3 linked regions of the Oreochromis niloticus genome follow. The protein of the gene in region 1 binds, or shares a complex with, the protein of each later gene. Links are inferred from orthologs where the notes say so. Each region holds a gene or a part of one and is shown in the gene's direction. Other genes may lie near its edges. The genes, in order: gins4, gins2 and mcm4.

Region 1 (3,751 bases):
TGATGTGCATTAAGGAAACTGCAGCTGTCTGAGGCATGTGGTGAGAGCTGCAACCTTGCAGGTCTGATGTAGTCCAGATAAGTTCAAAGGATGCTGATAGCGTGCAACACTGAACATCACTATGGTGGCTGCAGTGCAGGGAAAAAATATGAAAGAACTTTGAAGCAAGTGCAATGAGGAGTGACGAGAAGGAGCAAATAGGACAAATGAGATACTGCAGTAAGGCTGTCTGAAAGAGCTGCAATGAGTGAAGCAGATGATCTCTGAATTCACACTAATGAAACTGCAGATTAAGAGCCCAGATAACATGTAGATCTAGCTCCCAGATTGGATTTTGAAGACAGAAACCATCTCTACTTTTAAGATTAGGTTTAAAACTTTCATTTTTTGATAAAGTATATAGTTAGGGCTGGATCAGGTGACCCTGAACCCTCCCTTAGTTAAACTGCAATAGGCCTAAGCTGCTGGGGGGCTTCCCATGATGCAATGAGCATTTCTTCTTAACTCAACTCTATTCACACTCTGTGTGTTTATATGCTGCTTTGTATTTAATCATTAGTTATTTTTAATCTCTGGCTCTTTTCCGCAGTGTCGTTTTTGCTTCCTCCCTCCCCACTCATCCCCGACCACTCACGGCACGGCCTCCCTGAGCCTGGTTCTGCCTGGGGTTTCTTCCCATTAAAAGGGAGCCGCTTGCTCATAATGATTCATCTGATTGTTTGAGTTTCTTTTTATTGGTTTAGAGTCTTTGCTTTACAATACAAAGCACCTTTACTGTTTACTGGCAACTGTTGTTTTGGCAATTAAATTTTATCAAATTGAATGACATGCTGACTTAGGAAATCAAACTGACTTCTACGGCATCAGTTATTTCTTTGTGTGTTTGTAATAATCACAATCTTTTGGTATTTCTTGAGTGAATATGCCGTACCCTGTGCTGTCACTGTCTTTTATATAGTGTCTATTATATTATGTCTATTAGTGGTATAGGAAACATTTCTATGAGGTTTTTCTAGATCATAATTAATGCTTGAGTTATATATTTGATAGTATTAGCAGTAATTATCTGTAAATATATAAAATATATAATAAATCTATATAAAGATATCTCTCGCAATATAAGCACAATAACATAACCACTAATTATGATGCGTGAAAACGCCATAGAAATGCTTCTCCCACCACTTTCTACCACTCTAGCATTACTTACAACAATCTTCAGCAACATGCAATATTTTGAGTGTATTGCTCGTATTCACAGCACGTGTTATATAGATTAGATTCCCTCAGTTTTGTATTTCAGGAAAAACCGGGCTCATTGAACTTTTAAAGTTTGCGCTCCTGTAGCAGAAAATCCTCAACATCCCCGATCAATATCCTTCCTGAATGTCTAGAAACTAATTTACTGTCTTTTATTGAATGCTCCGTCCAATTATTAATAAAAACTATACTAAGCCTACGAGAAGGCTTGCCTGACAAGCTAAACTCAGGTAAATGGGCACATTGTAAATCTCGCGAGAAGAATCCCAGTGGCGCGAATAAACAACGAGTTTTTCCGCTAACTTGTGGCTGCTGTGACAGTAGTAGTCGCATTGGTACATTTTCCCTCATATTATTCAGTTTTAATTGCTCTGTTTTTATTATTAATTTATTTTTAATTCAAGAGATATTCTGCGTTTTGGTGAAACGTTGTATTTTTACTGAAAACCATGTCGGACGCTTTGTCTGATGACGGCAGCGACTTCAACCAGGATGACACCCAGGAGGATGTTATGACCCCGGCGGAGCTGATCGCTAAACTGGAAGAAGTAGGCCAGATTATTCCCCTGACGTGCAGACTCTTCACCTCTATTAGATATTCAGCACCGTCTTCACTGTTGTGTCCGTGTGTGTCGCCCACAGGCTTGGCTAAATGAGAAGTTCTCACCGGAGCTGCTGGAGAACAAATCAGAGGTGGTGGAGTGTGTGATGGAGCAGCTGACTCATATGGTAAACTACCCGGGGAATACCTCCTGCGGTGTGGGTTGTTTCTAATGTTCAGCAGCATGCATGGTTATAGTTGAGTTTCTGAATTGCAAAACAGCAACTGAAACGCGAAGGACTGCAACCTATGAGAATGTGCATGACTGATTCAAATGCAGCAGAGGGAAAACTATATACAGTACTGTGCAAAAGTCTCGAGCCACCTCTCACTTCTTTATGTTTTGCTATGATGTAGTGAAATTGACATGCAGAATGTAAGGCAAAAGAGTTGGTACAATTCTAATGAGCTTGAAAGTCCATATTCCGTATGACCACCTTTATGTTATACACAGCCTGAACTCTCTCGGGCAAGCTTTCTTGTAATTTCTTTAAGTAATCTTCAGGAATTGTTCTCCAGACTTCTTAAAGGACATTAAAAGCTCTTTGATGTTGGCTGCCTTTTGTTCTGTTCTCTGTCAACATGATCCCACACTGCTTCAATAATGTCGAGGCCAATCCATGACTGATAGTGTTCCACTGTGTGGGGTTTTTTTTTTTGTTTTTGTTTTTTATGTTTGGGGGGTTTTTTTTGTTTTTTTTCCCCATCCAGGTATGCTTTTACTGCATTGGCAGTGTGTTAGGGATCATTGCCATGCTGAAAAATGACTTGTTCAGAAAAGAACCTGTCCAGTTTGCACAATTTTATTTAATGGCACACATGCTGAGATATACCAAGCTGATTCTCAATGGTTAGTAGCTCAGTGAGAATCATCTTGTTGGTGTAGAAATATAATTTCATACCTGTAAAATGTTTTTTTTCTTTGGCATTTTTAATAGATTCAACTAAAGGATTGAAAACAAAGAATGTGTTTTTTGCTACAGGCTCCCAGTAGCAAAGTCCCTAAAGTAACACGTTAAAATAGCTTCTTTGCTAAGTTGTCTGTTGTTTTTGTAGACGCATTACTGGCTTTTCCTTCGAATTCGGTACCTTTTCGTGCTCGGATGATTCATAGGTCAATGTTAAGTGTCTTAACAAACAACAAACAAAAGTAGGTGCATTCCACCTCTTCTAAACTGTGAATTTTGCTTTTTTTTAACCCATAAAAAGCAAAGGTTTGTAGAAAAATACCCATTACAATTCACTAGAGCTCAAAATGCCACTTTATACACACAAATTAATTTATTTTTCAGTTGGAGTTTAAAGAAAGTAATTTACTTTTCAGTGGGTCAAAAAACATCATCAAATGTTCAAAATATAGAAGTTGAATTCGGGAATATCTGAGATTTCTGCTTTTTGTTCATTTACTTGAATTATTACAAAAATGTTTTAATTTCTTCTGTCACCTGACAGATCAGCACTTCATTGCTGGTTTTCTTATGATTTAGTTTTATTAGTATGGATAAATTGATCTATAGGAAGACCTGCAATTGATATCAAGACTTTGATGGTCATGTCAAATGTAATGTGGTGGCTTCAAAATAAAATCTCAAACAATTCAGGGCAATGTGGTTTGCTCTGTGGCAAACTACTATCTAAAGCTGCTGCCTGTCAGTAGGACCTTGATTACATTACTATACATCCAGCTGTGGAGATTCATTCAGTTCAGATGATTAGGATGGTATTAACACTGTGATATTCAAACATATCCCAGGGCTGTTGCTTTTCTGGTCATTCTGAGTAGACCTGAATAAAAGGACCCTTTAATTTCTGACAGTTTTGTCACCAACAGGAGTCCAACTTGCAGCGGGTGAAGAAAGGCGATGCAAAGGCCAGCATCCATCGCATGGA
Region 2 (3,751 bases), on another chromosome or scaffold:
TCTCAGCAAATTTATTTGAGATGTGTGGTGTGAATGTTGTGAGGCCGTTTGTACAACCCAGGAAGAATCCTTTGGATGGATTTGTTGATCCCAAAAGGGAAATTACTTCAGCAGCAGAAAGAATAAAAATAAAAACAGTATAATGAACAACAGAAATATTTTTAAAAAGTACGATAGGAAAACACCGAAGGCTGTAAAATGTGAAAATTTCATGTAAAACTGTGATAAAAAATGAAATATGAATGAAATAGAAAACATAATAAGACTGAGGTTATGTAAAACAGAATTCTGCAGATTGGTAATGCAAGAATGGTTCTTTATGGCAACAAGGTTGAATAAGTCTGAGGGAGAATGAGCTCTGTAGTGTAGAAAGGAGCAGGTGTGATGGGTTGTCCATGATGTTCAGTGACCTCCTGTCTCTCACTGACCCAAATGCCTCCAGATAGACTGATGATCCTTCCGTCAAAGCTGGCCCGGATGCTGGCACAGACCGTTAGAAGTTCTTCAACATCTTGCTGAACACACTGAAGGATCTGGACTTCCTCAGAAAGTAATCTGTTGATCCCCTTCTTGTACACAGCATCGCTGTAGGTTCTTCAGTACAGTCTGTCACTGAACACCAAGTATCTGTTGTTAGCTGTCCACTGATTCAGCCTCCTCACCCACGATTCTAATGGGTTTAGACCCAGTCACTGACAAAAACATCTTTGTTCTCACATGAAAAAGGTCACTGCCACCTTTCTTGTTATTGCCTGGTGAATGCTGCCATCTGGTGGAGTTTAGTTGCAACTGCTGTCATTGTCACATGGCCCACTTCCTTCTTCCGGGCCAGACAAAGCTAAACTAAAATTTAAGGTATGGTCAGCTTCGTCACGGCCAGGCCCGCGCCTCAAGCGTAAGTTAACAATTTTAAAAATGCAATTTCCACCGAGATAAGAGAAATTATACAGAAAAACAAAAAATAAAAATGTGACGTGCCGTAAAACGGCACACAATAATGTTCACTTTTGCGATACTGCGCTTCCTGTTGATGACGTAGTTGGCTTTTTCTTGCCTTCATTGTCGGTTTATGCTGCCTTCAGCGCGGGAACGGTTTGTAGTGCAGTTCCAGTGGGAAGGAAGTTTTTGAACACACATACAAAAAAACAAACAGATATGGATCCTTCGGAGGTCGAGTTCCTTGCGGAGAAAGAGATGGTGAAGATAATACCAAATTTCAGCCTAGATAAAGTCTTTTTAATCGGGGTAAGTCAGCCGTGTCTGTATTTAAGCAGCTGGTTTTTGACCAGATACTGAGACGTTGACAGTCACTGTAGAAATATTAGCTAAACCTTGTGCTAAAACCTTGTGTTATATCACGACACACTCAGTATAAAGCTGAAGGTATGTATGTATGTAAAGATATTTCTGTTTGAGTGGATCACTTCACTCAGCGACTGATTAAAACACGCACAAAAAAGCTTCATCTCTCAAACTCCAGATGGTGACTTTAACGAACTACAATCCATTTTACATAAATATAAGTCGCTCCAGCTAAAATAAAATATGTCTAAATATATTTCGAAAAAATTGAAGCTCCAATAATATTCGGTACCGTATCTTTGGCCTTTCAAAAAGTACCCCGAACGATTACTGATATATTATACTGCAGTTTTTAGTATCGATCAAGTAAATACAGGCTCAGCGCTGCAATAAAACGCACTTTTCAGCTTTATGTATTTTGTAGTTTGTTTGTTTGTTTTAGATTATTTTATTTTTTGGGGAGACTTGGAATGTAACTGTGCCTGTCTGTAAAACACTTTGGGTCGACTTCTGTTTTAAATGTGTTATATAAACAAAGCAGACTTGGCTCCAAAAATCGCGCATTAATGTGTTGACTGTCACCATGAAGAGTGTATGAGGTTTAAGAGAATTGTTGAACATTTTCCAAACCCCCCTTTTTTCTTTTTAAATAATAAAAATAAATAACAGCTAACAAGATCCTCCTGCAGCATGATGTGAATTTACCGACAGTACACTGTACTGTCTCAAGCTCACTTTGAGCTTGAGATCTACGGACTCAGTGGTCTTTTTTTGAAATAAACAGCTAAATACTCATCTTTTTAAACTTGCTTTTGGTTGATTTTGATTTTGTTTTAGCTTCTGTGAAGCACTTTGTGATTTTATCTTAAAAGGTGCTATATAAATAAAATTTAACTTACTTACTAGAGTAAAGTCATGGAATATTTTTCTGTATTTTTTACATAGCTGGCTGCACAAGAGAACCTTTGTTATTCATCAAGCTCTCAGGATGGCTCGTTTGATGTAAATCAGATTGTAGCTTGTAGTTACTGCTGTTGGAAAGAGACATTGTTTATCTTCTAGCAATGTTTTTTATTAATCATGAAAATGCAAATGTGTAGCTTTCCAACTTCACTGAAGTGGGGAATGCATTGTGCTGCACGATAAAATATGTGTATTTGTGTTCTCAGGGAGATCTGGGTCCCTTCAACCCTGGACTACCTATTGATGTTCCCGTGTGGCTGGCTCTAAACCTAAAACAGAGACAGAAGTGTAGAATTATTCCTCCTGAGTGGATGGATGTTGGTAAAGTTCAAAGTTTTTCCTGATGCGGTCTTTGCAGGTGTTTGTTTCCAGGCATGAACTCAGGTTTTTCCTTTTAATGCTGACAGGATTACTTAAAAATGTTTCACATGAGGGTCTTTCAGTATTTTGAGTATTATTTCCTTCACATTATAACATTTGTAATCATTACTAGCCTACCATGTTAAGCCTAGACCTGCCTTGCCATAACTTTGACTGTAAATAGTGCTAAAATATTTATCTCCTACGACTATTTTTCCAAGTTTGCATTAGGTAAGTAAAAAAAAAATGGGCACAAGAAATGCAGTAAGATTGTTCTCTTAGTTGTAAGAGGTAAATTATTCAGATTTTGTGTTAGTTACAAATGCAAAATGTGTAAAATATGTATGTCACTGTTGGTCTGTATGCTGTAAGAAATGCTGAAAAGAATCAATTCATTGGTGGTTTTATTTGGAATTTCTGTTTTGCTTCTCCTACAAAAGTCAGCTGAAAAGAGAGGAATCTTGAAAATCTTTCATAGCATTTTTGTGTGTCGCTGCAGTTTGCTGCTGTTGACATTTTGCTTCACTGTGCAGAGAAACTGGAGGAGATGCGAGACCTTGAGAGAAAAGAGGATATGTTTACACCTGTTCCCAGTCCTTACTACATGGAGCTTACCAAGCTGCTACTAAACCAGTGAGTCATATACAATTAAGTAATCCACAGAAATACAGCCCTCAGTACTGTTGTGTGCTTGGTGTATGTGCCGCCTCCCCTTAAAAGAGAGGTTTCTGTGTTTCTGCAGCGCGTCTGACAACATTCCTAAAGCAGATGAGATCCGTACACTGGTCAAAGACATCTGGGATACTCGCATTGCCAAGCTCCGCCTGTCTGCTGACAGTTTCATCAGTCAGCAGGAAGCTTATGCCAAGGTAAAACTGATCACATGTAGGGTGTTTAGTATTCTCTGCTGTCACTTAACCATTGAGTTTTGAACATTTAATTGAGTTGAAAACAGATGCAAAGTAAGTAGAAATACAACAGCATAATAGACAGAATTACCAGTTCCACATAGAAGCACAATGTGCATTTATTTAGTATCCCTTCAGCTTGTGGACCCATTGCATATTGAGGTCCTTAAGAAAAAGTGTCATCACCTTAAGTTCCCCCAATTTAATTGGCTGTATAT
Region 3 (3,751 bases), on another chromosome or scaffold:
GACTCAGTGCAGAGTACACCACCTGTTTCACTGTGAGTGAAGCAGATCAAAGCTACATGAATGCATCTGAATCTGTGCTTCATGGAGAGGATACAGGTGAAAGTGCTAACATGATCAAAGCCATAAACTTGCTTACCCAGCACAAAAAGTGCAGATGCTTTGTAGTTGTTAGCTTTATATGACATAACTTAATGTATTAAACTCATGTAAAATTATTCAAATTATTTTTAGGCTTTCTTCTTTTAGCTGCTCTCTTTAGGGGTCACCACAGTGAATCATCAGCCTCCATCTCACCCTGTCCCTAGCATCTTCCTCTGTCACGCCAAACCTCTGCATGTCCTCCTTCTCTACATCTGTAGTCAGAAGTTTGCATATGCTCATCATGGGCATTGATGTCATGGTGAATTTGGGGTTTTTAATGATTTCTGAGTTGTTCATTTTCCAGGGTCAAATGTATACATACAGACTCAGATATACTATACAGCCCTACTAATATTTGGTCAAATGTCAAGTTGCATCTCACCCAGATGCTTTTGGTAGCCATCAATGATTCTCCGTTGGTCAGCATTGTCTACTTATAGTCGATCATAATCAACAATGGGAAATTAATAGGCCCTTTCCTTGTTGAGTTAAAAGACACTGCAGAACCTTCAGTACCAGTTATAAAAAGATTTAAGTGAGTGCATGTGGAGCCATTAAAGATTTATGCTGTACAATCATTCAACACAGGGGAAAAAATCAGTTAAAGAAATCATTAAAAACCCCAAATCATCATGACAGTCATGGCCACAATGAGTGTACACAAACTTCTGTGCATTACTGTGAACACAAAAATGTGGGATGCGCTGGACCTCATCATACTGAGAGCTGTTTCTTCTCACCCACTGGCCTACATGAGTACCTCTGACTGTAGTGAAAACCAGTACAACCACCGCTGTAACATAACCGGGTGAACATACATCCTGCATGTAGACTAGGAAAAGAGGGTGAATAGTATTTCCCGGTTAGCTTCTGCTGTTGTATTAATTCAAATGCTACATCTTTACATCCGTAGCCTGTCACGGATTTGCTGTCATTTTGTATTTGGGAGGCGGTTTCACACTTGCGTGTTGTTTGGATTGTTACAATAAAGATTAGGGCAGGGGCAAAAAAAAAGTCCCTTACTGCTGGGCCAAACCAAATCGATTGAGGGTTTGAAGGAGCACATGAGCGCACAGGAAACGCAGATCTTATTTGACATATCAAAATTAAAAAATAAAAGTTCATTTATTTATTTATTTCCTATTTAATCCGTTTGTTTATTGAGTCTACAAGATGCTAAACTGAAGCCGGATAAGTAAACGCTGGACAAGAACCCCCCTTTTTCGGTGAAGGGATCGACCGGAAAGAAAAGAAAGACAATCCCAGCCTCTCATTGGCCCAAAGTTCCCCGCGAAAATAACGTCACCCGCAGTTTCGCGCCACATCTTCTCCGCTCGGACGTATACACAAGAAGGGGTAAGAAGAGACATGTATAATGATAGTTTTTAGGTTATTACGTCGGTAGTTTTGGTGGTTTCGTGAAAGCGTGATACGCGAATCAGGTTGACTTAAACGTGCACGAAGGTGTTTTGTTGTTTTACGCTGACGTTTAATGTTAATCGAAGTTAAAACATCGCAGTCGAGGATCAGCTTATTGTGTGCTCTGCAGCCACATGTCAAATGGAGGTCGAGGGTTTAATGCAGTTAGTGCTTTAGTGAAAATAAGACACTTCAAAACTTCTAAAAAAGACACGCAGTGTAGCATATCAGCGTGCCGGAAGTGTCATTTATATAGTTAAGTGAACTTTTCTTGCTGTTTGACTGATATCTGGAAGCGATTCAAGCACACACTCATAACATGGATCCAAGTATCCAAGTAGCGAAAAGCAGGCTGCCCACAGTTTATATCCATCTCATGTCATTTTCTCCACAAAGCTGAAAAAAGATCTAATAAAACAAAAAGGAAATAATTAAAGTTTTTCAGCCAGCCACATCTGTGAATGTCAGTTTTCCAAATGCTCAGTCAAACTTGAAGCCATCACCATCAGTGATGTCCCACAGCCAGAGCGACAGTATGTAACAAGTGTTATTACATTTCCTTCACTGAGTGTCACCTTTTGTTGATTTCCCAGCAGCAATGTCTTCTCCAGCTTCAACCCCTGGTGGCCGTAAGCGTGGAAGGAACACCAATCCACCCACACGTAAGTTCCCCACTTGCTCCAACCTTTTGCATATGGACCTCCTGTGATTGTATGATGACCGTTGCCTACTTTTCTTCGTGTCTGTGCGACTTTAGCCAGCAGCGAGGACCCCACCTCGCCTCCCTCTCAGCGCCGCAGAGGTCAGGACTCCTCCACCGGGGACCTGATGCCGATGCCCACCTCCCCAGCCACGGACGTGCTCAGTCCTGCAGCACCCCAGGACACGTCTCTGCTCTCCAGCCCCCGACCTTCGGGTATGACGTGTTTGAGTTGTTGTGGTCTTGTGGACTCAAATTTTGGATTCTTGGATTGTTTTATAAATCTGCCTCCTTTTAACAGTGCCCCCTAACGAGGTGGACATGAGCTCCCCCTTGATGTACGGGACCCCCAGCTCCAGGATTGAGGGAACCCCACGGAGCGGAGTGCGGGGCACACCAGCCAGGCAGCGTCCTGATCTGGGATCGGTCAGGAAGGCTCCCCAAGTCGATCTTCACTCTGAGCCGGTCAGTAATCTTGTGTTTGTCATGTATTGAGCTCACATGAAGCCCGAACCCTCAGAAGTTAACTATTCACTGTCTTCTCTCAGCCGAGCACAGATGGTGCCGTGGCCAGCGAGTCGAACGCCGGGCAGAGGCTGGTGATCTGGGGGACTGATGTGAATGTCGGCACCTGCAAGGAAAAGTTTCAGGTATTGAGCCGAGGCAGCTAAATCCCATAATAAATCTCATGTAGGCAGTCCATGAGTTAACATTGGCATGCTTTGCGTTCCGCTGCTTCCAGAGGTTTCTCCAGAGGTTTGTTGACCCGACCTCCACTGAAGATGAGAACGCTGGTCTGGACCTGAACGAGCCGTTATACATGCAGAAGCTGGAGGAGGTGCAATTTTTATTGTTTGTGTTGCTCCAAACGTGTTTAAGTCAGACTCGCACTGCATGATGGTGTTTCTGAATGATGAACAATAGCCAGGAAATTAGAGAATACAGGAGGAGGCGGTTGCGCGGGATTGTATTCAAAGACGTAATATCACACAACGTGCTTCTCTTCTCGTCCCACAGATCAGCGTCGTCGGCGATCCTGTGATGAACGTGAACTGCCGCCACGTGCAGTCCTTTGATGCAGATCTTTACAGACAGCTCATCTGCTACCCACAGGTAAAGCTCGCTTCATCTGCCATCATCTGTTTATTTTTTTTCTTTACCATTGTTTTCATTCCCTCATTCGGTGTATGTGTGAGTACGGATTAAACGGAGGATGAAAACTTGAGCCCTTGATGAGTGAAATGGCAGCCTTCTGATTTTTATAATGAAGTAATGCGATACAGCAATGTCTTGAATAAATTAATGAATAAATAAAAATAAAATAAGTGGATGCAAATGCAAAGGGAGAAGTGATGTACAATGTAACACAAACAAGATTATATAGAAAACAAATGGATAGGTGAATGAATCCAAAGACAAATACAGAAGCAAATTGTAACGAATGTCATTTTGCTTTTTGTTCTGTGAAGGATTTATTTTATTTTTTATTGT

Evidence for each region.
Region 2: the proteins of gins4 (region 1) and gins2 are in contact, whole or in part, in a crystal structure (PDB 2E9X), measured with the Homo sapiens proteins. The link is inferred for Oreochromis niloticus from reciprocal best matches to the Homo sapiens genes GINS4 and GINS2. Residues at the interface, in NP_115712.1 of Homo sapiens: Pro23, Ala24, Ile27, Glu28, Glu31, Trp34, Met35, Lys38, Phe39, Gln57, Met61, Leu73, Lys74, Ser76, Ile77, His78, Met80, Glu81, Arg84, Ile85, Tyr87, Val88, Ser91, Asp166, Asp168, Ser169, Tyr170, Val171, Phe172, Val184; in NP_057179.1 of Homo sapiens: Met1, Glu5, Phe8, Leu9, Glu11, Lys12, Phe21, Leu23, Asp24, Lys25, Ile26, Tyr27, Leu28, Ile29, Gly30, Trp47, Leu48, Asn51, Leu52, Arg55, Lys57, Phe135, Gln139, Glu140, Ala141, His142, Ala143, Lys144, Leu145, Asp146.
Region 3: gins4 (region 1) and mcm4 share a complex: the UniProt entries of both Homo sapiens proteins name them as parts of the CMG helicase complex. The link is inferred for Oreochromis niloticus from reciprocal best matches to the Homo sapiens genes GINS4 and MCM4.

The regions. Positions count from the first base shown.
Region 1 is NC_031977.2:13,065,486-13,069,236, forward strand, and holds the start of gins4 (DNA replication complex GINS protein SLD5), read left to right. Parts: upstream 1-1,530; 5' UTR 1,531-1,709; coding exon 1,710-1,808; intron 1,809-1,902; coding exon 1,903-1,989; intron 1,990-3,692; coding exon 3,693-3,751. UniProt on the Homo sapiens protein: Required for correct functioning of the GINS complex, a complex that plays an essential role in the initiation of DNA replication, and progression of DNA replication forks.
Region 2 is NC_031965.2:23,289,679-23,293,429, forward strand, and holds the start of gins2 (DNA replication complex GINS protein PSF2), read left to right. Parts: upstream 1-1,027; 5' UTR 1,028-1,155; coding exon 1,156-1,245; intron 1,246-2,471; coding exon 2,472-2,586; intron 2,587-3,158; coding exon 3,159-3,258; intron 3,259-3,367; coding exon 3,368-3,494; intron 3,495-3,751. UniProt on the Homo sapiens protein: Required for correct functioning of the GINS complex, a complex that plays an essential role in the initiation of DNA replication, and progression of DNA replication forks.
Region 3 is NC_031982.2:18,517,381-18,521,131, forward strand, and holds the start of mcm4 (DNA replication licensing factor MCM4), read left to right. Parts: upstream 1-1,390; 5' UTR 1,391-1,497; intron 1,498-2,153; 5' UTR 2,154-2,158; coding exon 2,159-2,222; intron 2,223-2,317; coding exon 2,318-2,476; intron 2,477-2,561; coding exon 2,562-2,725; intron 2,726-2,808; coding exon 2,809-2,910; intron 2,911-3,002; coding exon 3,003-3,098; intron 3,099-3,277; coding exon 3,278-3,373; intron 3,374-3,751. UniProt on the Homo sapiens protein: Acts as a component of the MCM2-7 complex (MCM complex) which is the replicative helicase essential for 'once per cell cycle' DNA replication initiation and elongation in eukaryotic cells.